Ovis aries: one gene and its partners. The protein of the gene in region 2 interacts with the protein of the main gene of each other region in a biochemical or structural test. Links are inferred from orthologs where the notes say so. Each region holds a gene or a part of one and is shown on either strand. Other genes may lie near its edges.

What was found.
Region 1: of the proteins of SP1 (region 2) and MAPK1, one has a biochemical effect on the other in vitro, tested with the Homo sapiens proteins (2 studies listed by BioGRID). The link is inferred for Ovis aries from reciprocal best matches to the Homo sapiens genes SP1 and MAPK1.
Region 3: the proteins of SP1 (region 2) and DDX5 form a complex in vitro, tested with the Homo sapiens proteins (2 studies listed by BioGRID). The link is inferred for Ovis aries from reciprocal best matches to the Homo sapiens genes SP1 and DDX5.
Region 4: the proteins of SP1 (region 2) and CCNA2 form a complex in vitro, tested with the Homo sapiens proteins (2 studies listed by BioGRID). The link is inferred for Ovis aries from reciprocal best matches to the Homo sapiens genes SP1 and CCNA2.
Region 5: the proteins of SP1 (region 2) and E2F1 form a complex in vitro, tested with the Homo sapiens proteins (4 studies listed by BioGRID and IntAct). The link is inferred for Ovis aries from reciprocal best matches to the Homo sapiens genes SP1 and E2F1.
Region 6: the proteins of SP1 (region 2) and HIF1A form a complex in vitro, tested with the Homo sapiens proteins (2 studies listed by BioGRID). The link is inferred for Ovis aries from reciprocal best matches to the Homo sapiens genes SP1 and HIF1A.
Region 7: the proteins of SP1 (region 2) and PSMC5 form a complex in vitro, tested with the Homo sapiens proteins (2 studies listed by BioGRID). The link is inferred for Ovis aries from reciprocal best matches to the Homo sapiens genes SP1 and PSMC5.

The regions. Positions count from the first base shown.
Region 1 is NC_056070.1:72,034,375-72,038,592, reverse strand, and holds the start of MAPK1 (mitogen-activated protein kinase 1), read right to left. Parts: upstream 2,801-4,218; 5' UTR 2,786-2,800; coding exon 2,752-2,785; intron 1-2,751. UniProt on the Homo sapiens protein: Serine/threonine kinase which acts as an essential component of the MAP kinase signal transduction pathway. MAPK1/ERK2 and MAPK3/ERK1 are the 2 MAPKs which play an important role in the MAPK/ERK cascade.
Region 2 is NC_056056.1:133,122,313-133,125,812, forward strand, and holds part of SP1 (transcription factor Sp1), read right to left. Parts: coding exon 3,335-3,500; intron 1-3,334. UniProt on the Homo sapiens protein: Transcription factor that can activate or repress transcription in response to physiological and pathological stimuli.
Region 3 is NC_056064.1:48,409,333-48,413,548, forward strand, and holds the start of DDX5 (probable ATP-dependent RNA helicase DDX5), read right to left. Parts: upstream 2,801-4,216; 5' UTR 2,631-2,800; coding exon 2,587-2,630; intron 1,408-2,586; coding exon 1,242-1,407; intron 1,059-1,241; coding exon 962-1,058; intron 878-961; coding exon 744-877; intron 627-743; coding exon 561-626; intron 324-560; coding exon 182-323; intron 98-181; coding exon 1-97. Other genes in the region: CEP95 (centrosomal protein of 95 kDa), read left to right, coding at 3,668-3,686. UniProt on the Homo sapiens protein: Involved in the alternative regulation of pre-mRNA splicing; its RNA helicase activity is necessary for increasing tau exon 10 inclusion and occurs in a RBM4-dependent manner. Binds to the tau pre-mRNA in the stem-loop region downstream of exon 10.
Region 4 is NC_056059.1:3,751,323-3,755,490, reverse strand, and holds the start of CCNA2 (cyclin-A2), read right to left. Parts: upstream 2,801-4,168; 5' UTR 2,575-2,800; coding exon 2,368-2,574; intron 1,584-2,367; coding exon 1,340-1,583; intron 40-1,339; coding exon 1-39. UniProt on the Homo sapiens protein: Cyclin which controls both the G1/S and the G2/M transition phases of the cell cycle. Functions through the formation of specific serine/threonine protein kinase holoenzyme complexes with the cyclin-dependent protein kinases CDK1 or CDK2.
Region 5 is NC_056066.1:63,133,772-63,137,217, reverse strand, and holds the end of E2F1 (transcription factor E2F1), read left to right. Parts: coding exon 1-150; intron 151-1,076; coding exon 1,077-1,191; intron 1,192-1,291; coding exon 1,292-1,517; intron 1,518-1,635; coding exon 1,636-1,883; 3' UTR 1,884-2,946; downstream 2,947-3,446. UniProt on the Homo sapiens protein: Transcription activator that binds DNA cooperatively with DP proteins through the E2 recognition site, 5'-TTTC[CG]CGC-3' found in the promoter region of a number of genes whose products are involved in cell cycle regulation or in DNA replication.
Region 6 is NC_056060.1:71,952,513-71,956,012, forward strand, and holds part of HIF1A (hypoxia-inducible factor 1-alpha), read left to right. Parts: intron 1-2,688; coding exon 2,689-2,797; intron 2,798-3,354; coding exon 3,355-3,481; exon of another isoform or gene 3,482-3,500.
Region 7 is NC_056064.1:47,802,286-47,806,429, reverse strand, and holds the start of PSMC5 (26S proteasome regulatory subunit 8), read right to left. Parts: upstream 2,801-4,144; 5' UTR 2,771-2,800; coding exon 2,747-2,770; intron 2,206-2,746; coding exon 2,134-2,205; intron 650-2,133; coding exon 580-649; intron 372-579; coding exon 274-371; intron 110-273; coding exon 53-109; intron 1-52. Other genes in the region: pre-rRNA 2'-O-ribose RNA methyltransferase FTSJ3, read left to right, coding at 3,335-3,401, 3,578-3,683.

The DNA of each region.
Region 1 (4,218 bases), on a different chromosome or scaffold from region 2:
CCCACACGCTGTGGAGCAGCTGAGCCTATTCACAGCAACTGCTGAAGCCCGTAGAGCCTGCTCTGCAACAAGAGAAGCCTCTGCAATGAGAAGCCTGCACATGGCAAGGAAGAGTAACCCCCACTCTCAGCACCTAGAGAAAACTCACACAGCAGGAAGACCCAGCACAACCAAAAGTTAATTAATGAATTAAAAAAATAATAGTCTGGAAAAGTCCTGAATTCTCAGAGATAGAAAAACACAGTATTTGATCATTTAAGAGAGAGAGAGAAAAAAAAAGGACTATTTGAAAAGCTGAAAGCTGGGCCTTCCCTAGTGGTCCAGTGGTTAAGAGCACCATCTAATGCAGGGGACGCAGATTTGATCCCTGGCTGGGAAACGAAGATCCTGTATGTTTCAAAGCACAGCCGAAAACTAAAAAGCTGAAAGCTGGTTTTCTGCCGATGTCTCCTCTGTAATAATAAAATGCCAAATAAAAATGGGAACAAGTTGGCAGGAGTCTGAGAGGGTAGGTTATCCATTAGACAACCTACAGGGGCTTCGGCTCCACGTTTTCCAAACTGTCGACGGTTACCCGCAGGAGCCCTGCACTCAGACCGCAAGGTAGAGCTTGAACCTTGGCTTTTCTGCTTACTACCTGTATGACTTTGGCCTCAGTTTCCCCACTCTTAAAACAGAGATCACAACAGCACTTACCTCCCTATTGCACAGAATAAGACAACAGATGCAAAGCTCCTGGCACCTAATCAGTTCAGCTCAGCTCAGCTCAGTCGCTCAGGCGAGTCCAACTCTGCGACCCCATGAATCGCAGCATGCCAGGCCTCCCTGTCCATCACCAACTCCCGGAGCTCACTCAGACTCACGTCCATCGAGTCCGTGATGCCCTCCAGCCATCTCATCCTCGGTCGTCCCCTTCTCCTCCTGCCCCCAATCCCTCCCAGCTTCAGAGTCTTTTCCAATGAGTCAACTCTTCACATGAGGTGGCCAAAGTACTGGAGCTTCAGCTTTAGCATCATTCCTGCCAAAGAAATCCCAGGGTTGATCTCCTTCAGAATGGACTGGTTGGATCTCCTTGCTGTCCAAGGGACTCTCAAGAGTCTTCTCCAACACCACAGTTCAAAAGCATCAATTCTTCGGCGCTCAGCTTTCTTCACAGTCCAACGCTCACATCCATACATGACCACAGGAAAAACCATAGCCTTGACTAGACGGACCTTAGTCAGCAAAGTAATGTCTCTGCTTTTGAAGATACTATCTAGGTTGGTCATAACTTTTCTTCCAAGGAGTAAGCATCTTTTAATTTCATGGCTGCAGTCACCATCTGCAGTGATTTTGGAGCCCCCCAAAATAAAGTCTGACACTGTTTCTACTGTTTCCCCACCTATTTCCCATGAAGTGATGGGACCAGATGCCATGATCTTCGTTTTCTGAATGTTGAGCTTTAAGCCAACTTTTTCACTCTCCTCTTTCACTTTCTTCAAGAGGCTTTTTAGTTCCTCTTCACTTTCTGCCATAAGGGTGGTGTCATCTGCATATCTGAGGTTATTGATATTTCTCCCGGCAATCTCGATTCCAGCTTGTGCTTCTTCCAGCCCAGCGTTTCTCATGATGTACTCTGCATATAAGTTAAATAAGCAGGGTGACAATATACAGCCTTGACGTACTCCTTTTCCTATTTGGAACCAGTTTGTTGCATGTCCAGTTCTAACTGTTGCTTCCTGACCTGCATACAGATTTCTCAAGAGGCAGGTCAGGTGGTCTGGTATTCCCATCTCTTTCAGAATTTCCCACAGTTTGTTGTGATCCACACAGTCAAAGGCTTTGGCATAGTCAATAAAGCAGAAATAGATGTTTTTCTGGAAAGCTCTTGCTTTTTCGATCATCCAGGGGATGTTGGCAATTTGATCTCTGGTTCCTCTGCCTTTTCTAAAACCAGCTTGAACATCAGAAAGTTCACGGTTCACGTATTGCTGAAGCCTGGCTTGGAGAATTTTGAGCATTACTTTACTAGCATGTGAGATGAGTGTAATTGTCCCATACTTTGAGCATTCTTGGGCATTGCCTTTCTTTGGGATTGGAATGAAAACTGACCATTTCCAGTCCTGTGGCCACTGCTGAGTTTTTCAGATTTGCTGGCATATTGAGTGCAGCACTTTCACAGCATCATCTTTCAGGATCTGAAACAGCTCCACTGGAATTCCATCACCTCCACTAGCTCTGTTCTAGCGATGCTTTCCAAGGCCCACTCGACCGCTCGGTATATGTCATCTCTGATCACTATCGACCCCACCCAGACCTGTCCCTCATCTCAGGCTTCTGGGTCCTACCACCACCCAGGTCCTGCAGCTGAGGTCTGGGGATGCTCCTCACAATGCATCTTACCTTACTCCCAACCCCTCCCTGCATCTGACCCATTGCAAACTCCTATACATTCTGTTTTTTCAGTATTTTGGAAATCACTGCTACTCAAAGTGTGGCCTTCAGACCAGCATCAGGTGGGGGTCTGTTCGGAACACAATATCCTGGGCCCCACCCCAGATCTACTGACTCAGGATCTGCATTTTAACAAGATCCCTAGTGGTTTCATATGCATCTGACACTTTGGGAAAGCACTGTTTTATTTTCTTTTTAGCTGAGATGTAAGTGATGTATGACAGCGCCTGCCCTCCACCCTGATTTTGCCCGCTCCCCGTGCTCCAGACAGACCAGACAGCTCTCAGCTCTTTTCTGCCCTCCAACCTCGCCACATACCTGTCTCTCTGCGGGTAACGTGTCGTCTCCTCATTCTTCTAGCATCTGTGGGCGTTTTAAAGTCACTGACTTTCTCCGGAGAACTTCTCTTGCCTGGTTCTGTGGTCGCTAAGCAACCCTGTGATGAGAGTCTGGCTTCCCTTGTGGTCTTCGACAGGGAAAGTGCACTGACCAGGAGACAGCCCTGCTCAGGTCCTTTGGCAATTGCTGTTCCCTCCGAGATGGGGTTTAGATACACATCAGCCTCTGCCGAGTCAGGCTGGCGCGAGCCAGGCCCGGTGGGGAGAATCATCTAGCTAGACTGACAACGACAAATTTCCAGAAGCAGGGAGCTGAGAACCTGAGAACATGGCTCTGGAGAGCCAGGAGCCCACGGAAGCCGCTATCCAAGCCTAAGTGAAAGTTGCTCAGTCGCGTCAGACTCTTTGCGACCCCATGGACTATACATACAGTCCACGGACTTCTGCAGGCCAGAATACTTGAGTGGATAGCTGTTCCCTTCTTCCGGAGATCTTCCCAACCCAGGGATCAAACCCAGGTCTCCCACATTGCAGGCGGATTCTTTACCAGCTGAGCCAGCAGGGAAGCCCAAGACCTAAGCCCCTGCTTAGAGGGCTTGCTGGATGTCTTCCTGAGTGTCCCTCTAGAGGCGACAGTGCGCAGATCTGTGGTCTTGGAAGACATGGGCATCTGTTGTTTTCTGCCTACATTGACCCCTTCTCCTTCTGGTAGCAACAATCCAGTTTTCTTTCTGTGGGGGGTGAACTCTCCCTTCTACACACTTAGAGCATTTGGCCCCACCCCCCAAGTCAGGAATAAGCTTGTGACCCAGGGATCTCCAGTCAGAGTCACAGATGTTGGTTCAAAAGATGAGCGTGAGACCTGATCCAAGCCAATGGCACTCAGCCCAGCCTTCTGCAGAAGCAACTAGAAAGGGGCACTTCCCTTCCGCCAAGGTTGCCAGGGCAGGGGGTATGGGACTGGGGCCAAACACGCCACAGCCTGAGAACCACCCTCTAGGGTAAAGCTGGGACGGGGAAGCAGGGTCCAGGGACGGAGCCAATTTCCTGACGACACGGTCTAACGATTCAGCCAAGGCTGGACTTCACAAGTGCGTGAGACAATATCTATTCTCCTTTTTAACTGAAGTCAATTTGAGGTAGGGTTTTGTCACTTGCAACCACAAGAGTCTGTGACTAATACACGACCCAACTAACTCCCTTTTCTGCAAAAATTGCTCAGAATCATACAATAAATCACTGGGACATGAATCAGAAACTCATGAATGATGAAATGAGAGAAAAGAACTGGCAGTGAGCCTCGAAACCAGCTAAAGATGGAGAGATAACTGAATAAAAACACCACTCAGTAGAGACTGAGGCTGATGAGCTGAAGTAATTGTTGTTGCTATGGTAACAAACAAACGGCAAAAGGGAAAAATTGAGAAAGAGGATTTTTTTTAAACCG
Region 2 (3,500 bases):
ACACTTATGTTCAAATGAACTAGTCTAAAATACAACTCTGTTAACAAAATAGGTCTCAGCAATCTGACCCCAAGTTTAGCGACACTGTTGGCAGACCAACTCTGGTATCGCATTCAACTTAACTTCTAAGAGGAGACATTTTCCTGACCCCAATAAAACTAAGCAGATGTGAAATTTTTATTTTTAGTGTCTGAAATTTGCTTCATGAGTCAATTATAGCTATCAAGGAAATATGTTTTATTCTCTTGCCAAAGCCCAGTCCCGCACTCTTTGTTAGGCAGAACTCCCACGAAGTCATCCAAACTAAGTCTTTCAAAACTGGCCCCTCCTCAACCTTGGGGAAGAGTTTTTTGAACTTAGCCAGGGCTGAGAAAAAAGTCTGAAGCTTGAAGCTTAAAAAAAAAAAAAACACAAAAAACCTAGAACCGAGATCAGAGCGTATAACTACCAAATGAGAGGAAAAGAGTGTTGATACAAGGATAAAGGGGACAGGGTGTTAATTTTTTAAAAAAGGAAAAGCTGCTCACTTAAAAAATAACAACAAAAACTAAGAGCCAATAGATCATTCCACGGGTGGTCCCTACTTCACTATCACCCACCAGTGGCAGAACTGTGAAAAACAGGAATACAGAGATGGGTGGCTGATTTGGGGTCTAAGTTTGTGCCTTTGCCTGTATATTCAAACTAACAAATAAATATAATAAAAGTCAACAAGAGAACTTAGAAAAGTTTTAAAAGATGACTTTTAAAAATAATAAATGTGGAAATTCCCTGGCCGTCCAGTGGCTGGGACTCTTCAATTTCACTGCTAGAGGTGGGAGGTGGGGGTGTAAGGGTTCAATCCCTATTTAGGGAACTAGGATCCTACAAGAAGCCATGCGGTAGGGCCAAAAAAAAAAAGACTAAATCTATTAAGTGACACAGAAGCTGCAGTCTTCCACAACCATTTAAAAATAATGGCTCCCTTTGCAGAATGCTATCTACTTACCTATCTTACAACATGAGCTCATATTAATCGCTCTTTCCACTACATCATACTGCCAAGAGGCTGAATTTTTCTAATAAAATAACTATATACCAGAAAAAGGGGTAAAATGAGAGACTTTGTAGCAGCCAGGCAACAGCTAAAGAGCACTAAGCTTCCAGGAAATGACTGCATTATCTTTCATTAAGGCTGAAGTCAGATCAATTGAAGGGGAAAACATGTTGCACAACTATGACTAACCAGAAAGGAGGAAACACATATCTTCAAAACCACTATTAACAAAGCAATCTCAACTCTCACAAAATGGCCTTTCAGAGCTTCATTCTCTTCTTAGTGAATGTCAAGCTGCTACTATCTTATAGAAAGGCATGCGTTTTCTAGAGCTCAGAGACCATCAATAACAGCTAGGAAGGTAGCCCTATCCTATGACAAAGTAAATGGCAGACTTCCCCAGACCATGATTTAGCAATGAAAGTGTCTCATAACTGTTCCTTGGAGCTCAAGTTATCAACCGTTTACACACTGCAAGGATCCAAATTAATACTATCTGCAACAATCTCAATAACTTGAGACCAAAGAGAAAACAAACACACAAACGTAGGTTGCCCAGAAAGTGTCTAATTTTCAAAGCTGTTAGGTTCAGTTTTTATAAACTCTTCCTATTTCTACTCACATAATTTTTAGTCTATAAACACTTGCCAGCTCTCTAGCCTTAAATTCCAAACTAACAAAAGATATATTTTCCAAAAGATTTTTAACAATTTAAAGCATGTCCCAAGTTGAAACATGACATCTCTTGTCCCAAGTTAAAATTAATAGGTAATGGATGCGCCAGACTAGAACTAACAGTGAGTAGTCTCATAACATACGTGCTTCCAGTATCTCAAAGTCCTTATCGGGAAAATAAGGCAGGAGTATGAGATGATTCCTAAGGTCTCTTTCAGCTCTAACCTTCTATTTTAAAAATTCCAATTCACTAACAAAATTTCTGTCTGTTAAGGCTCAAAATGTAGTAATTTTAAACATACAAGACTGTAAGAAAGCAGTGAACTTGAGCAGAACTCCCCACCACAGATTTTCCTAAGCTGCAGGAAGCAGGAAATATGGTTGCCTATTTGTTACCCTCTCTTACATAAGAACCAATCTAAACAGAATGAGAACTCTATAATAAAAGTAAACAATTAACAAATCCACAGATACACCAACAGAAGTAGAAGTTCAGTGGTATTAAACTTCTCATCATAATTTCTATATATCATGCCAGAATATAAAGATGCATATGTATCCTAACGTGCTTCATTAAAGATTAGTTCTATCACCATGAAATTTAAAATGATAAACTCTAAATAAATTCTCACCGTTTTAAATAGAGGTTTTAAATTTCAAATTAACCAATACTAGTAAAATACAGTTTAAAATAAATGACTGAATAGTAGTGTCAACTGATTCAACATACATTCCAATATATACATCCCCTTCCTTGACAATTCTCTTTCCCCCTCAAAGTTCTTACTTCTAATTCCTCTCAATTCCATCTCCCCACTCCACTCTGTGCCCCACTTCTGTTCTCTCCTACCTTTCAACCATACACTAGTTTCAAAGCAGTCTAGAAAGTGGCTCTCTAATCTAGAAAGTATTAGAATCACTACCTAGGAGGCTTAAGAAACAAAACAGAAGAAAATCACCTAGGAAGCTTATTAAAAATACACATTAATACTTTCAAGCTAAGTAGGAGTTGAAAAAATTAAACCTCAAAGGGTAGCTCTTCTGGTTAACTAAAAGATTAACCAGGGAACTTAGTTTGTTGAAGTCCTTTGGAATCCATCAGTTTTCCCCTGCTTTCCCCTGCTTTCTCACAGTTTGTGAGAAATATCTGATGATTTAATAACTACCCTACAGATAAGTTTATAATCCATTCCTATCAGCAGAGAAGAACCCTCAAGCCAAATAAAGCCCTCAAGGTAAGAATATTTTATATTTTTAAAAGGTTGCAGAAACAAAAAAGTACACATAACTGAGAACTTATGTGGCCCACAAGGCCTAAAATATTTACTATCTGGCCCTTTAAAGAAAAAGTTTGCCCACTCTTGTACTGTAGTACCAGGCACTGAAAGTACAGACCCCAAGGACACTGCCCAGAAATGCTCCTTTCTGGACAGATTAACTGAAGAGGAAAAAGTTCTTATTAAGTCAGCTCCAAATGACTTAAAATCATTGCTATTTCTCTAAATGACTTGCCCTCAGAAGCACTGCCCTCAAAAGATTCTACTCCCTCTTCTTTAGACTCAGTGGTTTCAGCTGAGATGCTAAGTAGCTCTAGAGATAAATGCACAAGATTTCAAGTCTTACCTGAGGCATTTGCTATCGCCAAGGGCAGGCTTGGAAGCTGGTGGACCTGGATTCCTGAAGCACCCAATGCACTGAGGTTAATGGTCTGGAGGCCAGGCATGGAGGAGAGCTGAGCAGCATTCACAGTGACTGTGCCGGCAGGGATGGAGGCAGCTGAGGCAATAGG
Region 3 (4,216 bases), on a different chromosome or scaffold from region 2:
TCATCAAGGACAAGGTAGGTGGTTCTTCTTAGATTGGTTTTCCCACATTCTAAAAAGTCTATCAGTCTTCCAGGTGTTGCAATACAGATTTCCACACCTTTAATTAAACACACAAAAGTTACCATGACATCCAGAACTTCCTGCATGATCAGTGACAAATAAAACCTTTTTGGTTACATACCTCTCTCCAAATCACGTATTTGTGGTCCCTTGGGAGCACCACCATAAATGCAAGTAGACTTCAAGCGACATGCTCTACAGTATTCAGCAGCTACTTGCTGCACCTGTTGGGCCAGTTCCCGAGTAGGTGCCAGCACCAAGCACTAAGGAAAGAGAAAGTGGAACACCTTTAGGAGACCCCTGAATTCTAGTTTTGAAGTGCTAATTTACTGTTGCTACACTAGCAGATGATATACATTGTCAATACCCAAAGCAGCTTTGTCCCTTCCTACACTGAAAAACATAACCTTCCATATAAAACCACCAGAATTTTCTTTTGCTGTATATTCTACAAATCTCTACGCTGTTAACCAAGTTAAGAGAATACAATGTACACTTACAATAGGCCCATCACCTCTCTCTAGGAATGGTTGATGATTGATGTGGACAATGGCAGGCAGCAAATACTATACAAAAGAAAAGCAAACAAAAAAAGCCATATTAAAAACACTTCTGGTTTCTTTTAATTCCCAACCCATTTTTCTTCAGGACCTGTCACCTAACTCAAAGTTTCCCAAACTTACAGACAAAGTCTTCCCAGATCCAGTTTGTGCTACCCCAACCATATCCAATCCACTCAGAGCAACCGGCCATCCCTGAGCTTGAATAGCTGTGGGTTCAGTGAAGTTCTGCCTTGCAATCACATCCATGACATTTGCTGTAATGTTAAGAATTAAGTAAACGTCAATAATGCCATGAGAAAGGGATTTTTTTTTTTAAGGTGGGGAAAACTAGCACTTACCAGGGAAGTTTGCCTCATAAAAATTCAGGACTGGCTTTGGGCAGTTATGACCTCTAACTGTAATTTCCTTGCTTCTTCTGTATGTCTCCACCTCTTGCTACAAAAGAAATTTATAAAATTCAGTTATCTCACGAGGACTCCCCCTAACTAAACACACGACCAACACACCCCTAAGTTAATAATTATCAACATTAACATTCCTTTAAGTTTGCAAGACATTTCTAGTCAAACTTAAATGTCACTGAGTTACAAGCTGAAAAAACCACATGAAATTACTCACTGCTGTACGCCTAGCCAAATCGGGGTGTTCTTGATAAAAATTCTTCTCAAACTTGGGCAGCTCATCAAGATTCCACTTCTTTTTAACCAGTTTCTCTCCAGGGTTTCCAAACTTCTTTCCAGATAAGGGCCCTGCCCTACTACCTCCAAATCGAGGAGCACCAAACCTAAAATTTGAGGGGAAAAAAAATTGCATTTTCAAACATGTACAGACTTATTTTACCATCCCTGCGCACATGCTAAAACTCAATGAAAGATTCTGGAGATGCAAGTGCTGTCCTCAGTGATGGTCATTCTTTCAAAAGCCAGTTAGTACTACATCTCCCTCATTTCCCGTTACACGAAGTACACACCATTGAAAACAAATCAACAGCCCGGGATTTACTAGGTTGGAAACTGGCTGGCCAAGCTCTAGGAGTTCAGATACAAGGACAAACAACAGCTGGTGGATACTACTCTTTCACACAAGCGAAAGAATTAAATGCCAAAAAAAAATAAAGCAGAAGCTTAACACAGATGTTACTTAGCACCTGTCCTGAACCAAGAGCTCTGATTTTAATAGGTAGCGGAACAACACAGGTAAGTGAGTGCAGAACACGGCGGGTGGCTCGGGGACAGTTAGGCAAGCCAATCGAGTTGGGGGGATCCCTCAAAACGGTTTCCTACCAAGGTAGCAAAATTATATAACGAAAGGAAAACGAGGAGGAGGAGCCGGAGACTACCGGGGGAGGAGTCCCGGCCCGGGCGGAGTCCTTCGGGCGGCGTTCCCGCTGGGGCGGCGCTTCCCCCTTTGTCTCGCATTTCTCTCTGCGCCACATTTTCTCGACGCTGCCATTTTGAGCTCCTCCGCCGGGCGGGGTAACAAAGGCGCCGCCGCCATGTCCGCCGCCGGCATTTTGTACCCACGGCTCGGCCACATGGCCGATTCCCGCGGCACCGGCCACCCTCCAACCCTCGCCGCATTAACGGCTTCGGAGGCGGCCCCCTCGGCACCCACAGAACCCCCAGATTCCTTAAAATTCCTGTAAGCTTACACCTAATAGTGGCGACTTCGCCTCAAAGCGCTGCGCTTTCCTCCCCTCAAAAAATGTGCTCGAAATTCTCCGAACAGTTGCCAAATCATCAAGGCCCCGATACCCCCTCCAAAACAAAAAAGAATCTTGAGGACCGTTAACATGAAAAGTCCAGGTTTGGACAAATAACAAAATGGCGCAAGCCCTTTTCGATGGCGGAGGCCCGAGAATAGTCTTTAGAAGCCGAGTTGCCCCCGCCACCCCACCCCCGCAACCCTCATCGGTCTCCCATCCCCCACCCGCCGGGCCTGACAGGTCGGTTCCCACACTCACCCTCGATCCCGGCCACGGTCTCGGTCACTCGAATAACCCGACATGGCGTCAATGGTTGCGGTTGGCGGGAAGCGAAGCGGAGAGAATCGGGTGCGACGAGTCGCTGGAGGTGGCTCCGGCGACGGCAAAGCCTTGCGGGGGCGGCAGCGGCGGAGGGACGACGATGACAGAAGCCAAGGCTGCCCAACAAGAGACCGGTGGAAATGAATGAGGTGCCGGCCGCGTCCCGGCAGCCGGTTTTATAGCCTGGCCCGCCTCCTCCGCCGCAGAGAATGCTGGGAGCCGCTCTATGACCTAATCACTCCGCCCCTGCGCAGAGCTATTAACGCCTGCCGGCGTTCCGGGATCCGCCATTTTCTCGCCCCTCCCCCCGGGCCCTTTGCCGACTTTTCGCCCCTTTCAAGGATAGGACCCGCCCCCACCCCGCGGTCCTCCACTGGGATGCCTAAGCCTGCACTCTCTTGACTTCACCTTTTTCTGGTCTTTCACACTTCAGGGAAACCACTGCGCCCTTTTCCAGGTCTAGCCCAGACAATAAAATGTCCAGCCCAGGTCAACTCCCTCGGTCCCCTTGAAGATGTTTACGTCTCCAAAGAGCCTTTACACCCATTACTAGGGGCGACAGGAAGGCGGAGCCTGACATTGTCACGTGGCTGCCCCGCCCGCCGAGTGAGCGGGACGCACTACTTCCCCAGTTGGCGTCGGCGGAGGAGTACAAGACGAAATAGCTCACCGGAAGTGCCGTGCTAATGCCCTCGGGAAATCGGCCGGGGCTGTTGGGCGACCCGAACTGTCAAACCCACCCACCCCAGGACCCCTGAGCGGGGTCTGGCTGGTGAAAAATGGTATCTAGAGTTCGCAAACCGCCACCTCGGCACGTGCCGCCAAAGGAAGTACTCCCGCGGTGACCAATCAGCAGCGAGAAGCCGTTTTAACGTCCCTCCCTCCTTCACCGCACCCCTTCCCGGCACTTTCGTTTGCTTCCTCTCCTGTCAGCCCTGGGTCTGCGCCGTGCGGCCCTTTCAGGACGCCGTCCCGCGCGCGCCCGGCTAGGAGTCCGGCGGCGACTTGCCTCCGCGACATGGCCGGCTCAGAGGCTGGTGAGTCTCTGCGTGGAGCCCCGTTTGTGTGTGGGCTCAAGTACCTTTTCAGTCCAAGTCCTGAACGCCCCTCCCCATCTTATCTTGAGGCTTCGGGTGGGTGTGGGCTGCCGGCGGGGCTCGTGAGACAACCCGGTCGTAGTTGGCGGGTTCTCTGGCTGGGGCTTCTTAGTCCCGCTCCCTGGCGCATTCGAAGTTGTCGAGCCTGATTTGGGGCGGGGAGACAAGGGCCCTGCGGCGAGGCCCGCAGCACGCGAGCATGGTGGCTGTAAATGATCAGAAAGTGTCTTTCCCTAGACTAGTATTTTCTAGGGAGTGTGCCCTCTGCTCCTGCACTGCGGAGCCTGAGGCTGAGTATTAGCACTCTAAAAATCTATTGTCATCCCAAAGCGGAATAGTGGTGGATTTTCCCGCTTCAGAGCTTCCTACGGTTACCGGCTTTCTGTAGCGCAGTTTTTGAAAAGAGAGTTGATTGGGTTGTCTAGGACGCTTTCATCTTTTTTTCCAAGACAGCGTTCAAACCGGTTGTC
Region 4 (4,168 bases), on a different chromosome or scaffold from region 2:
CTTCCAGTACAACTGACATTTCCATAGTATGTGGAGACTCTGGGACAATTCAAAAATACAGTTAAGTTCACTTAAGAGCTAAAAATGATGGTCCTTGTAAGGAGTCCCATACTACCAATGAGCTTATTTCATCCAACTAAAAGAGCTTTTTATGACAAAATACATAAGAGATTTAACTCTCATCTTAGTACCTCTGTCTACTTAGTTTTGGAATGATCTTAATTAAAATATCGTTAGACCATTAATGGGAAAATGAATTTGAGGAGCAGGTTATTAAGTTAAACCATCATTCATCTTGCATGATAGGAAGACAGTGGTTCTGTTAGAACAAGGTTAAAATCCAAACTCTGAGATAATATCTAGGATTTGTCATAAGAGTTTGCAGACCCCAAAGTCTAACATTTGCAAAGCATAATCCAGGCAACAATTAGAAGCAGGACTAACAAGTGTGCTAAAGAGGAAATCAGATTTGTCATGGGCAGTTGAAACATATTAACGGTACAATCAATGGGTGATTGGTAAAATTCATCTTTGGAGGCAATGAATGTCATCCATTATTATTTCAGCTCAAAGTTTACTTTGAGGTTAAAATTTGCTGTGAATTTTAAATAATACACAAATTACTGTTATTTCCAAAGCACTTCTCTGCTATACCCCTCGTTTATACAACTAAAACTGATATTGAATTCAGTGAGCTGTCCAGTGAACCCACAGTCTGATGGTAAAGTAGCACAAACTGTAGACAGAGCTGTCCATAGCAGTTACTCTGACTCACAGGAAGACAACTGTCTTTCTGATATCAGACAATCACTCAGACGGGTTTTACAGAAACAAATTTTAGAGCTGGACGGGATGTCGGCTATCTCAATATTTAAAGCTACATCCTCAGATGGCGTTCTCTGAAATGGTGTGAACAAAGTTAGTCTTAACTGAAATATATTCTCCCAACTAAGCAAATATTTTGAGGGTCAATTAAGTCTTTGGGATCTAATGAAATTGATGTGATTAGCAGTGTACCAACCCAACTCCAGTGTTCTTGCCTGGAGAATCCCAGGGACAGAGGAGCATGGTGGGCTGCCGCCTATGGGGTCGCACAGTCGGACATGACTGAAGCGACTTAGCAGCAGCAGCAGTGTACCAGAAGGAGCACGGGATTAGAATCTTTTTGGAGGTCACCAGGTCACAGATTAGCTGTGAGGCCTGAGATAAGTCACACCCTTTCTAAACTTGTTATGCCTAACTCATAATGTAGTAAGGCTCAAGTAAAATGTCTTAGAAGGAAAATATTAATCCGACCTATTTAACAATTACTTTTATTCAAGTTTTCTTTAAAACTTACCAAAACTACCATCCATTGGGTAATCAAGAGGTGCCAGTGGCTTTCTTGGTCCTGGTAAAGTAACAGCTGAATGAAAACCCAAGACATCTTCACTTTCTGATTTTTTAGATTCAGTTGGCCTCTTTTGAATCTCTTTTTCTGCTTCATCCACATGAATGGTAAATGCAGGCTGTTTACTGTTTGCTTTCCAGGGAGGAACAGTGACATGCTCATCATTTACAGGAAGATCCTTAAGAGGTGCAACCTACAATGAAATAATTAAATGCTTTGAGCCTATTAAGTGGAATTTTACTTTCATCCCCTTATACTGCTGAGTATAGTCCCAAACCCTCTTATCAGGAAAATTAAAACTTTTGGGGGCAAAGTTCAGGCAAGGAAATTTGAGTAGCTGGAGAAAGAAGAGATGCTTCAATTTGTCATAGGCATTCCTGTGACACCAAAGATTTCGGTCACACCAAATGGAATTATGCAAAACTAGGCCAGAGATGGCTGGAGTGGCAGGCCGAAAGATGCCAAATTTAACAGAGATGGCAAAAAACAAGTGGTTTTCCTTTTTCACCCTAGGGTGGAGCAACAGAGCAAATTCAGTAAGATGGCGGAATTGACCAATAGCAAAGCACTTTTCATACCTTCGCCCAAAGTAAAGGTAGTTTCTTTACCCATCCATATGGGGAAGACGAAGGTCGGAATAGTGCCTGGGTTTTAGAGCAGAAAGGCGTGGAGGCGGGCAAAGACCATACTCAACGTTGTGGGGCCTGGTTTGATCCCATTATCTATGGAAAAATACTCCCAATGGAAAGCTGAGAGGCAGCATGAAAGCACAGCGCTGTCAGGAACAGTATGGAAGAGTAACTAATGGGAGTAATGTGGCGTCCTACACTCTAGAAACCCAGGGATCAAGGAACTCCAGATCCTAGCCTCCCGCGAAAAGCCCAGGGAATGCTTTCTCGCCACTCTCCTCTGCCGGCTAAACCCGTGCAAAACCCCCGCTCGGCCCTCCCTCCTGAGGATATCGTTCATTGCTTTACCCGTCGCGTCTTAGGCCTCTGGGGCGCTGGACCCCGCGAGTTCCCGGCCCTCAGTACCGCCAGCCCAGCCCGGGTCCGGGGCTGCTGGGCGGGCGCCGACTTCTCGGGGTTGACGTTCTCCTGGTCCTCCTGGAACGCCGACTGCTGCAATGTTAGCGCCGAACCCGCCTCGCGGGCCGCAGGCCCGTGCGCGGAGCTGCCCAACATCTCTGCTCCCGGGGGCGCGGCGGGATCAGCCCGGCGCCAAGCAGCGTGCACTGAGTCCCGCACACCAGCCGAGGAACACTCCAGCCGTACCCGCCCGCCGCAGCCCGAGCCAGCCTGCCCGTCTGCTCGGAACCGTGCAGGACCGAGGAGACTGAGAAAGGCGGAGGCAAGAACTGCCGGGCGTGGAGGGACAAGGACGCCCCCGAAATGAAGCGAGCAGCCCGCCGGAGCTGCGGCTGTTCCCGCAGTTCAAGTATCCCGCGACTATTGAAATGGACCAATGAAAGGTGCCGGTCCCTGTGACGTCACTCGGGGCGACGCGGTCGCAGGCGAATGAAGGCGGCTGCGAAGGCACCCGAGCAGGGGCGGAGCGGGACGAAGAAACAGAGAACGGCGGCAGAAGGAAGGACGCCTGCGCCGGGCGGGGAGGCGGGGCCTAGGCTTATGGTGGCTTTAAATACCGCCGCTAAGCAGTTCCTGTCTTAGGCTAGGGGCGGCCGCTAGTACAAAGTGAGTTACACTTTAGCGATTATTAGTGGGCCGTACATAGAGTCTGACGGGTTAGTCCATGGGGTCACAGAGTCAAACATCACTTAAAGACCACACCATCACCACCCGGCCTTTAGCCACAGGACCTCCAGTTAGCTTGACTGAAGTTTCTCAAGGTCTAAAATCGGATCCGGCCATACTGGCCTGGTGGTCTTGTTCAAGTTACTCAATGTTCTGATTCTCAGTTTTCCTATCTGTTAACTGGGGTGATTATATCTACACGTTATAAGTTATCATTAGTATTAAATAACGTGCATAAATCATTTCATACGCTGCTTATGTAATTGATACTCAAGTGGATGACTATAGTGTCATCTTACCATTTTCGTGCTTATTCACAGTCTTATACTTTTTATTTTTCTTCATGAAGATGCAATTAAACTGCCACCTTGAATTACTGTTGATATACGTAACAAACTAATATACAAGAAATTCAACTAGTCAGCCATTAACCTTGGCTGTATGGCAGCCAACAAAAAGCACGGAGTGAAATTCCAGTGACCTAGATATAATTGTGTTCCATTTAGAAATGAAGGTTGTTTAAATATAGTAAAAAAAAAAAATATGACCTTATTAAAATAAAACTGATAGAAATACGTGCCTTTAGCAAATTTTCACATTTAATATATAACAAGGCTTGCACATAACTAATAAATATAATGGTATATAATTGAGCATTGTTGTTTCCCAACAAATTAATAAGTGTGCCCTTCTTGAAAACACAGAGAATAGTTTATTTTCTATTATAATCCTTATGCCACTTTAAAAAGCACAATCTTAAGTATAATATTCACCTGAATATGAATAAATATGAATTAAGATTGACAGTTATATTTCCCTCCATATATGATAAAAAAGGAAAATTAGTATTTATTAGTGCAGGAAAATCTAAGAAGCCATCACTATTTCTGTACTATTCATATGTAGTACATTTGTATGGCCCTACTGGTTACAGCACATCAAGTTAAAATCCCCCCAATCTGTGCAAGGTCTGATTTCCCTGGCCACAGTTTAAAGCAATGAGCCAACCCAAGTATTTAACAAA
Region 5 (3,446 bases), on a different chromosome or scaffold from region 2:
CAACCATGCAACGGTGGGGATCGGTGGGCGGCTTGAAGGATTGACCCAGGACCTCCAGCAACTGCAGGAGAGCGAGCAGCAGCTGGATCACCTGCTCCACATCTGCAGCACCCAGCTGCGTCTGCTCTCCGAGGATGCGGACAGCCAGCGATATCCTTGAACTGCCTGGAGGGTCACCAGGGCCCCATCTAAGTGGGAGTGGAGGGCCTTACCTTGGGCCCTGGATTCAGGAAAGAGTTCTGGCTTTGGATACCGGTCCTGGCTCAGCATTCACTCCCAGTGTGACACTGGACAAGTTACTTAACCTCTCTGAGTCTCAGCTTCCTCTGGAAAAGGGGAAAAACAATCCTACTTCAAAGCTTTTCGGATTAAAACCAGAAAAGCTAATATCAGTAATAACTGGTTTATTTAACACAGGGATAACATTTATTTAATACAGGGATTTAATACCTGGTTGTAGCTTCAAGGTTAGAGTTGCTTTTATTTGCAAAAATATAAACTTTATTTTGAAAGAAGTTATGTTTATACATTTTGGAGATAACGGCTCAGACGGTAAAGAATCTGCCTGCAGTGTGGGAGACCCGGGTTTGATCCCTGGGTCAGGAGGATTCCCTGGAAAAGAGAATGGCAACCCATTCCAGTATTCTTGCCTGGAGAATTCCATGGACAGAGGAGCCTGGTGGACTATAGTCCATGAGGTCATAGAGTCAGACATGACTGAGAATTTAACACTTACACACACACACACACACACACACACACACACACTAATTGACATCAAGGTCATGGGTCAGAATAAATTCTTAGGACTATGCCTGGATTTAAGTAATTTTTATGAAATGATTATAGGCAGCTGTCATTACCTTGAGCTTCAATAGGTAGAGTGATCTCATTGTATAGATGTAGAAGCAGGCTCAAGGGCATGAGATCTGCTTGACCCCCAACCATGTGCCAGGCCTTGGAGTGGGTGATGCAGAGGACAGGAGTGACTAGGCAGCGATGGGCTCTGCCTTCTGAGCTGTCTGGGTGGGTGGCCCCCAAAGGCCAAAGATCATGTGGTCCTTGACTCCACCAACCCTGGCCTATGTGACCTGCCAGGACCTTCGTAGCATTGCAGACCCTGCAGAGCAGATGGTCATGGTGATCAAGGCCCCCCCTGAGACCCAGCTCCAAGCCGTGGACTCCTCGGAGGTGAGACCTGGGAGTCTAGACGGGACTAGGATGGACTGGACTGGGCTGGGCTGGTAGTCCAGCTGAGCCTCAGTTTACCCTGCCTGCTACCTCCATCCAGAACTTTCAGATCTCCCTTAAGAGCAAACAAGGCCCCATCGACGTTTTCCTGTGCCCTGAGGAGAGTGTGGGCGGAACCAGCCCTGGAAAGACCCCGTCCCAGGGGGCAGCTTCGGGGGAGGAGGAGAGGGCAGCTGACCTTGCCACCGCGGTGCCACCACCACCGTCGTCACCTCCCTCATCCCCTGCCACGGATCCCAGTCAGTCCCTGCTCAGCCTGGAGCAAGGTTGGTGAAGGCCGGGTGGGCAGGGTGGGCCCGGCCCCTCCCCGAGGTGGGTGGGCAGGTGTGTCAGCCCCTCCCTGCCGGGGGTGTCCCCGGCTGTGATGCTCCTGCATCTCCCCAGAGCCTCTGCTTTCCCGGATGGGTGGCCTGCGGGCCCCCGTGGACGAGGACCGCCTGTCCCCACTCGTGGCGGCCGACTCACTCCTGGAGCACGTGAAGGAGGACTTCTCCGGCCTCCTCCCCGAGGAGTTCATCAGCCTGTCGCCCCCCCACGAGGCCCTCGACTACCACTTTGGCCTCGAGGAGGGTGAGGGCATCAGAGACCTCTTCGACTGTGACTTTGGGGACCTCACTCCCCTGGATTTCTGACGGGGCTCAGGGGGACCAGGGCCTCCTGAGATGCCCACCCCGTCTCTGCAGCCCTGGAGCCCCCCGCCCCTGGCCGTCCTAGCCTAATTGGAAACATTTAATTTATGCCCCTCTCTCCTACCTCCAGAGGCTTCTAGCTCTGGAGCCTGGCTCCTGCCAGGAGGCTGAGCAAGCCAGGAAGGGAAGAATTCTGTTTGTGGTGTTTGTGCATGCACCCAAGCCCCGACGTGTGTGTCCACGGGGTGAGTGGTGTGTGAGCATGTGTGTGTGCATGTCCCGGGGAATGAAGGTGAACACATCTGTGCGTGCACTGAAAACACGCCCCAGTGTGTCCACGTGTGTGTGCATGAGTCCATGTGTGCGCGTGGTGGGGGCTCTAACTGCACTTTTGGTCTTCTTGCTCCAGGGGCCCCATGAGGCCCAGGGTGGCCACCTGCCCCCAGAATCCTGTGTGCTGACCAGGCCAGGTGGCGAGGCCTTGGCCTGCTTGTTGGCAGGACAGCGAGAGCACTTCTATCGTCTTAAAGGTTTTTCTGATTGAAGCTTTAATGGAGCGTTATTTATTTATCAAGGCCTTTTTGGCAAGCTTGGGGCATCAGCAAAGGGTAGGAGGGATGTGGGACTGGTGCCGCAACTCCCTTACTCCCTGAGTGAGGGCAGGGGTCCTTGAGCTGTTCTTTGCCCCACTCCGAAGGAGCTGAGGCCTGAGTGGTTTATTTATTCGGAAAGCGAGGGAGGGAGACACAGACTGACTGACTGACAGCCATGGGTGGATTGAGGGGGTGGTCCCTCCCGACGGGGTCCCTGCAGGGCCCCAGCTGCCCCCAGGATGGATGTGAGATGGGAGAGGTGAGTGGGGGACCTTCACTGACAGGGTGGGCGGGAGGGGTGGGGTGAAGGGCCTCCCCCCCCCAGCCCAGACCACAGGGGCCCTTCCTGTGGCGTTTGAAGTGCCCCCTCCACCCTACTTCTTGCTCTGCCCCACCCTCCAATCTGCACTTTGATTTGCCTTCCTAACAGCTCTGTTCCCTCTGCTTTGGTTTTAATAAATATATTGATGGTGTTTGGGCCCTGTTTGGGGACTCTGTACTGGGAGCAGGTCTGTGGGTGGGAGAGGTCAAGGTTGCTGGTGTGATGACCATTCCCTACTTTACGTTTCCCTGTCCCTGCCTGGCTTCATTTTATTTGAGCCTCACAGCCCCAAGAATAATCGTTTTCATCACCTTTTTTTAATCCTAATTAAAAAACTGGTTGAGTAAAGTAAGCAATGAATTCCTTTTTCCAGCCACAGAGAGGCCACCCTGATCAGTTGGCTATGCTCCGTCCAGATGTTTCTGGACATTTGTAAACAGGCAGCAGATAATTACAACCAGCTGATTCTGTGTCAGGTTCTGGGGACGTGTTCCTCCCTTTGTGGAGCTCTCAGAATCTGCTGGAGGAAACTCTCAAATAAACGAGAAAATCAGGGAGAGCTTCCTGGAAAAGGTGGTGCCTGACCTAAGGCTGTGGGATAGTAGAAATTAACTGAGAAGGAAGAGGAATACACCAACCAGGAGAAGGCAA
Region 6 (3,500 bases), on a different chromosome or scaffold from region 2:
TTCTTAAGGAAATGTGTATGATGGTAAATTATTTTTAAACATAGCAAACTTTTTCATGTTTATACTTTAAGGAACATAAAATTGACACACGAATTCTGAACTTAAAACAAGCACTCAAACTGTTTCTAAATTAGCTTGTGTATTACTTTATAGTCATATCACTTATCTAAATGTAGGAGTAGGAGAGTCTTCTAATACCTCTAAAAATAAAATCCAGCCAGTAAGTTCTGTAAATGTACAAAAACTGGCCCAGTTTCTTGTAATTGCTTAAATCAGACTAGCTAACTATCCTCTCTGAGCTCTTTTTAAGCTCACCTGAAGAAAAGCCGTCCCAACTTAAGTGTGTGTGTGTGTTGCCCAGTTGTGTCCAACTCTTTCCAACCCCATGGACTGGAGCCCACCAGGCTCCTCTGTCCCTGGAATTTTCCAGACAAGAATACTAGAGTGGATAGCCATTTCCTTCTCTAGGGGATCTCCCAACCAGGGACCAAACCCGGCTCTTCTGCACTGCAGGCAGATTCTTTACCATCTGAGCCACCAGGGAAGCCATTCCAACTTAAGGGTATTAATAATTCTCCATTCCAAATTGAACTTATGGTCTTCAGTCCTCAGCATTCAATACAGATACTTAATAAGCATTTAAAAATTTTGGATGTATAGTTACAGCTATATTTATACACATATATATATAGTAGATAGATAACTATGTAGTTATATGTAACCATATTATAACTATTGTGTTTTGTTTTTCCTTTTTATTTATAGAACGCTAGCTGTATCACAGATTAAATAGGTTGGTTTTTGGAGGGTGGTTTGTACTAGGCCTTGGTTGCAGCATGTGGGACCTAGAGATCAAACCCATAAAGTTGGAAATGGATATATTGATAAATACATCCATTGGGTGTGCCGAGTCTTAATTCTTAGACCACCAGGGAATTCCCTAAGTATTAAAATAGGTTTTTAAGAGGTACAGTAGGAATCTAAGCATGTTTTATGACATTGCTTTTGAAGAGTTAACTTGAGCAAACATATGGACACCACCAAAATTTTAAGTTATAATTTTGGTGTATGATTTGCAATAGGATTTGATGTATTTTAAACGTGAGGCTATAGTCAGAGAAAACGAGTCAGTGGGGTGGTGTGTGGGGGACAGAAACGATTCCTTCTCCACAGTGCCTAGACTGAGATATTAATAGCAATAGGAAAAAGCACTGCCATAGCCAGAGCTTATGGCTTTTTCTCCTGCCCTGCATCACTACTTTGACCTAGAATGCTAGTAGAGACCTTTTCCCGGAACTTGGAAAAGATCTTGCAACTTTAACAAAGAAGTATTCTACATTACTTTTCTACTGTATCACCAACCAACTTTGGAGCTCCTCTGGGCAATGATAGTGTTACTAATATTTAACTCAGTACCTAACATGTACTTGCTTTATAAATGGTTATTGGATGAAGAAAAGAATGAACTTAGCAACAGAATTAGCAATAATCTGTAATTTATAGTTACAGAGATGAGATTTTTCAGTTTTCTAAATAAGTATGTACTTGTCAAAACCAAAGTCCAACAAACATCTAGTCAAATTAATGATTTTTTTTTACATTAGTTCCAATACAGTATGCACTAAACACTTTAAGAAATGAATTTACCTTTCAGAACTAGATGGAGGCTTTTTCTTTACTACCTCTCTTGGTAATTTGAAAAAATCAAAGTGCTGTATTAAACCAGACAACTTGAAGTTTTAAAGATTGAAAATAAACTATTAAAAGTACTACTACTAAGGTGATATTTATGTGATAAGACTGAGTTATCCTTAATAAAGATAACATGTACATAAAAATTAAAATATGCCTGTCTATATATTGAAGGTTTTATAGAATTTTTTAAAAATACAAAACAAGACTACATGTAGGAGAGCAGTTAGAGTAGTACCTCACTTACCATACGCCATTCTCAACTAGATGAACAGAGCAAGGATCTATTATCATTATGTTGGGGTTCAGGGTAGGGAGCTGGTTCTTGAAAAGACAAAACATATAACAAAATCGATGTACTTGACACATAAAACAGTTCTTTACTGTTTACTGTTAATTTTAGATACAGATAGTTCAAGTTTGATAATCAGATCAATACTGAGGGCAAAACAGCTTAGTGGGAAGATCACTGGGAAGGAGAGTGGGTATTAGGAGACCTACAGTGTACTTCCATATTTGCAGCTAATTAGGAACAGAGCAAGTTACCTAACAGGCCTCAATTTTTTCATTTATAAAATATGTATTATATACGTGTATTATCTTGGGGACTAGAGCAAAGGTAAAATGAACTAATGAAGATGCAATGTTTTATAAACAGTGAAAGCATTATTCAAATGTGAAACTTATATTACAGTAGTCCCAAGAATATGTATGTATTAGATGGAATGAAAGGCCAATATTTAACTCTTTAACATCAATTTAGTTCTGTTCACTTATGTTTTATAAATAGGGTAATGAATAGTTCAGGAAATTTTGTTTTAAAAAATAAGCTTTGACTTTTAGGGCAATAAACTTTAGTATAATCAGGAAAACTCTTATGTATAACATATCCCTTAATGTTGGAAAATAGGCATTATATATTTTGTTTAAAAAGCTAATGGGATATTTTTAAAATAAATAAAACAACCATATTTTTTATTAAAAAATTGTTTGCAGAACTACTGCTCCTGAGGAAGAACTAAATCCAAAGATACTAGCTTTGCAGAATGCTCAGAGAAAGCGAAAAATTGAACATGATGGTTCACTTTTTCAAGCAGTAGGAATTGTAAGTGTGACAGCATGTTTGCTTTTCTATTCTAGCTGATGTGCTATTTTTGAGTTAGATATATAGGTAACTCCTTGTATCTTCCAAATACTAATGTTACATTCTCAGAAGTTACACGTTGGTTTCTTTCACTTTGTACATGTTCTTTTTTAAAAGTACAAACATTTAATGAGTACAGTCTCAAAAAATTCCAAACACTAGAGATGTACTTAGAGTAAGTATAGTTCTCCCCTCATTCCACACCCAGTATCATTACCAAGTCTCTTTCTCTTCCCTTTTGGTTACTTTCCCTTCTTACCCACAGAACACAGTCAGTGCTAGTATAACCCATACTGATATTTTCAGACCAGATTAACTGGAAAGCATTTTTATGTAGTTGTCATATGAGTGGCAAATGAATTCATCACAGCAGTATTAAAAAATAGAATTTAAATAACTGAGAGCAGTCTTTAAGAATCTTGCCTATGTATTGTTAGCAAATTTATACTGATTTCAAAGTCCGTGATTTAAAAAAAAAATTCAACATAGTAAAATTGAAATAATTTTACTGTTTTCAGGGAACATTATTACAGCAACCAGATGATCGTGCAACTACCACATCACTTTCTTGGAAACGTGTAAAAGGATGCAAATCTAGTGAACAGAATGGAATGGAGCAAAAGACAATTATTTTAATACCCTCTGGTTAGTTTACTCTTTCTTC
Region 7 (4,144 bases), on a different chromosome or scaffold from region 2:
AGTGGTGTGGTGAGAGCTGACCCCCACCTCCCAACTCCCGGGCTGCACTCACATCATTGATGTCGATGTTCTTGTCCACGTCGACCACAAACTTGCCCTCCGGATGTACCTACAGAAGCAAGGGCGCATGACCGTCCCTGACAGTTACCAAATCACTAACCTCACCCAGAAGACCCATGAATCTTACACTAAGGTGAGAACAATGTCCTCACCGCGCACAACGGTACGGGAAAGCAGAGGCAGGTGGCTGGTGCCGGGTCCTGCTGCCTTTACCTTGACGAGCACTTTTTTCTTATCCATGGCCCGGACTACTTCCCCCACGTAGGAGCCCTGTTCCTGCAGCAGCTGTAGCTCCTCCCGCAGCAGGCGAACTAAATGGAAAGCAAGACACCATGATCAATCAGAAGTTTTGAAGGGAAGGACTCAAAGTCTAGAATTCATGTGTTTAAGGAGATTACAATGAAACTCAAGAGAGAATGAAGCAATGGGCACTTAGGTGAAGACTCGCTTCAAGGACACGGAACACTCAGAGCTCACACCAGTTGCCTCCATGCAGCCCTCCCATCTTTCCCTCCTCACCTTTTGCATTAAGCTCATTCCTCTGTGCCTGTAGCCTCCGAAGATTCTGGCTCTTATCATTCACAATCAGCTATTGGAGAACAAGAAGCAAAGGGTAGAAAACAGGAGGAGGTTAAAATCTTGGCCAAGACCCTCATAGGCTGATATGAGCTGAGTGAGGAAAGCACAGGGCACCTGCATTCCCCATTCAGATTCTCCAATATGACTTTAACCTTGACCCTGTCCTCCAAGAGCGCCTCTGGAGCAAAGGACCACCACGGGGGCGGGGTGGGGGGAGCTGTCTGTCTAAAACTGGTCTAGGAACCCTAATGGAGACAAGGTAACAGCTGATTAACATAGTTTCTCAGAGTGGGAACTTGGGTATTGAAGAAGATTTCTGAGTCAGAATCCTAAGTTCCAGCCCCATTGCTGGCAATCATCAGCTGAGTAAAGCCAATGAAAACCATGAGAAAGGTCTAGATCTGTTATAAAACCGAAAGTGGGTATAGCACCCCTATCCTGGCTCTTTTCAGGATTAACATAAGGAACAAATGAAAGCACATGTTGTTTAGTTGCTAACTTGTGTCTGACTCTTTGTGATCCCATGGACTGTAGCACACCAGACTTTCCTGTCCTTCACTATCTCTTGGAGTTTGCTCAAATTCATGTCTACTGAGTCAGTGATGCTATCCAACCATCTCACCCTCTGTCGCCTCCTTCTCCTCTTGCCCTCAGTCCTTCCCAACATCAGGGTCTTTTCCAATGAGTTGACTCTTCATGTTGGGTCAACAAAGTATTAGAGCTTCAGCATCAGTCCTTCCAATGAATATTCAGGGTTGATCTCCTTTAGGATTGACCTCCGTGCAGTCCAAAGCACTCTCAAGAGTTTTCCCCAGCACCACAATTCGAAAGCATCAGTTCTTCAGTGCTCAGCTTTCTTTATGGCTCAACTCTCACATCTGTACATGACTACTGGAGAAACTACAGCTTTGACTATATAGACCTTTGTCATACAGGTAAAGCATTTCAAAAATGACAAACCAAATAGGATACCCACAAATGTACCTGAAGTTCAGAATTTTCCCTTGTGGCGCGCCTCCATCCAGTTTACGTTATTTTCCTTATTTCTGTGGTCCTTGCTGCTTCTCTAGGCTAGAGCACTGGGCTGTTCAGTTTCATTTCATTCAGTCCGGTGGAATCAGCATTTTCCAGACTCCTGAATTCTTCTCTCACTCTGCCCCAACCCTTCTCTGATAAATGTCATTTCCTGACCCTGTGTCTTCTCTTCACAAGAAACTGTTTCATTTGGGTTTCTAAAAGGAACGACTTTTGGCTGGGGGGTACTTTTATGTTAAAATTTGACTCTTGAAGATGTGTAAGAAATTGTGAATATTAATTATCTTCAAAAAGATGGGGTTTCAGGGGAACATGAGACAGTTAATTTCATATATTTTATACTATTAACTTGTCATCAATACTAATTTTTCCACTGCATGGCAGTGGAATTACATGGATTTGTAGAGATCTGCTCATCCCCCTTCTAGTTCCCTCTGGACCTCTGAAGTCCGTTCTCACCTGGAGTTCTTCAATCTTGGACAGATAATATTGGCGGAGTCCACTGCCTGTCTTCCCCTCTTCCAGCTCCATCTGAGGACACAGTGTAATTATTAACCAAAAGGCTAAACATCCAAAGGATAAAACTATTTCCACGTTGACTTCGGAGATTCAAGATTTGTGTTCTCGTCCCTCACTCCATCTCTTCACAACCATTTCCTTAAGACTAAAACAGAATGAGAATGCCGCCTGCCTCTTAAGACTTTCAGGAGGATCAAGAAACAGCGCATCAGGGAACGCTACACAATCCCGAGATGTTATTTGTACAGGAGCAGCCAGCACGGGGCTCCCGAATCCCGCCAAGAGTGGGTTCCCGCTCCCGCGGTTCTCACCGCTCCCGCTGTTCTCACCGCTCCTCACTCAATCGGCTTCCACCCGGTCTTCCACTCCCGGCCCTGCCGTGACCCGCCGCGGGCGGCGCTGACACAGCAGATCCGGTCCCAGGCAGGGCCCAGTCTAGACTGGCCCACCCACCCCGGACGCCCCCGACCCGCTGGCCCCGGCCGGCTGCCCACCTCGGATCGCACCTGCTTCTCATCCAGCCCCGGTCCCCGCCCGGCCGCCGCCGCCATACCTGCTCTGGTCCGTCAAGCGCCATCTTCCCTCTTCCGCGGAGACCGCCGGCATCAGAGCCGCTTTGGCGCGCAGGCGCAAAGCCGGCGCTTGCGGGGTGGGGGGGTACCAAAGACTCGGGCAGAGAACAGTTCCGGGTCAGTGGGCGGGGTGTGAGGACGGACGGTAACAAATAACAAGGGACATGAGGGGAGGGACGGAGTTACCCTAGGTCAGGATCTTTGGTGTAAAAGGCACAGAACTCCTAAAGTTACTCTCTAGAAATTCGGTTTTGGCGGCATGCCAGCTTCCAACTTATAAAACCTGGGGAAGGATTACAGGGAAAATATTTGTGGCCACGCTCTAAATGGCGGAAAACTTGGAGCCGGGACGCGAGCGACGCAAGCGGAAACGGAAGTACGTTTGCTGCCCACATGTGCCTCTCCAAGGTGGAGAAAACGGTGCTGGTTGCAGGTGAGTGGTGTCGAGTAAGACTCCGAGTGTCTCCGCGACAGCGAGTGGGAAACGGAAGGCGGAATCTAGTGCTCCGGGAAGAGACGTTCCAACTTCTGCTTTCTCTCCCGCTTGAGTGGTGCCCCCACGTTACACCATGGGCAAAAAGAGCAAAGTCGGGAAGAGCCGGCGGGACAAGTTCTATCACTTGGCGAAGGAGACCGGTGAGTCAGGGTTCGTGCTGTCAGAGCAGGCGAGCCACCGACCTCGGTCGGTTCGCCCCGCTTTCCGAATATTGAGTTTCTTTTCCGCAGAAGGGGTAGTGGGTCGGGAGGCCGTAGAAATCGCGCTGGGAAAGCGCTTCGCGGACCTTGTTACAGAATTTTGTCGCCGCCTCCAGGTTACCGCTCCCGCTCTGCTTTCAAGCTGATCCAGCTGAATCGCCGCTTTCAATTTCTGCAAAAAGCCCGAGCATTGCTGGACCTGTGCGCTGCACCGGGTGGATGGTGGGTAACACCTGGCACCTGACGCTCCTTATGGAAACTTTCTGGGTTCCAGCCTTGGATGACTGAGAATTGACGTTGAGGGGCGGGAGGGATACAGTAATACCAGCCTCAAATTTCTGTACTCCCCAGAACTGTAAGCTTCAGGAGGGAAGATTTAGAACGTGTACATACGTTTGGCTGGTACTGGCCAGGGTTCTTCAGCTCCATTCAGTTGCTCAGTTGTGTCCGACTCTTTGACTTCTGCACACCTGGCCCCCCTGTCCATCACCGACTCATGGAGCTTGCTCAGACTCATGTCCATCGAGTTGGTGATGCCATCCAACTATCTCATCTTCTGTCGTCCCCTTCTCCTGCCTTCATTCTTTCCCAGACCAGGGTTCTTTGCCTTCCCCAATCAATAGAAATTGATTAGGGGCCAGACAGGAAATTCAGGCAAAGCTTTACTGGGGCCCCTGCTGCAG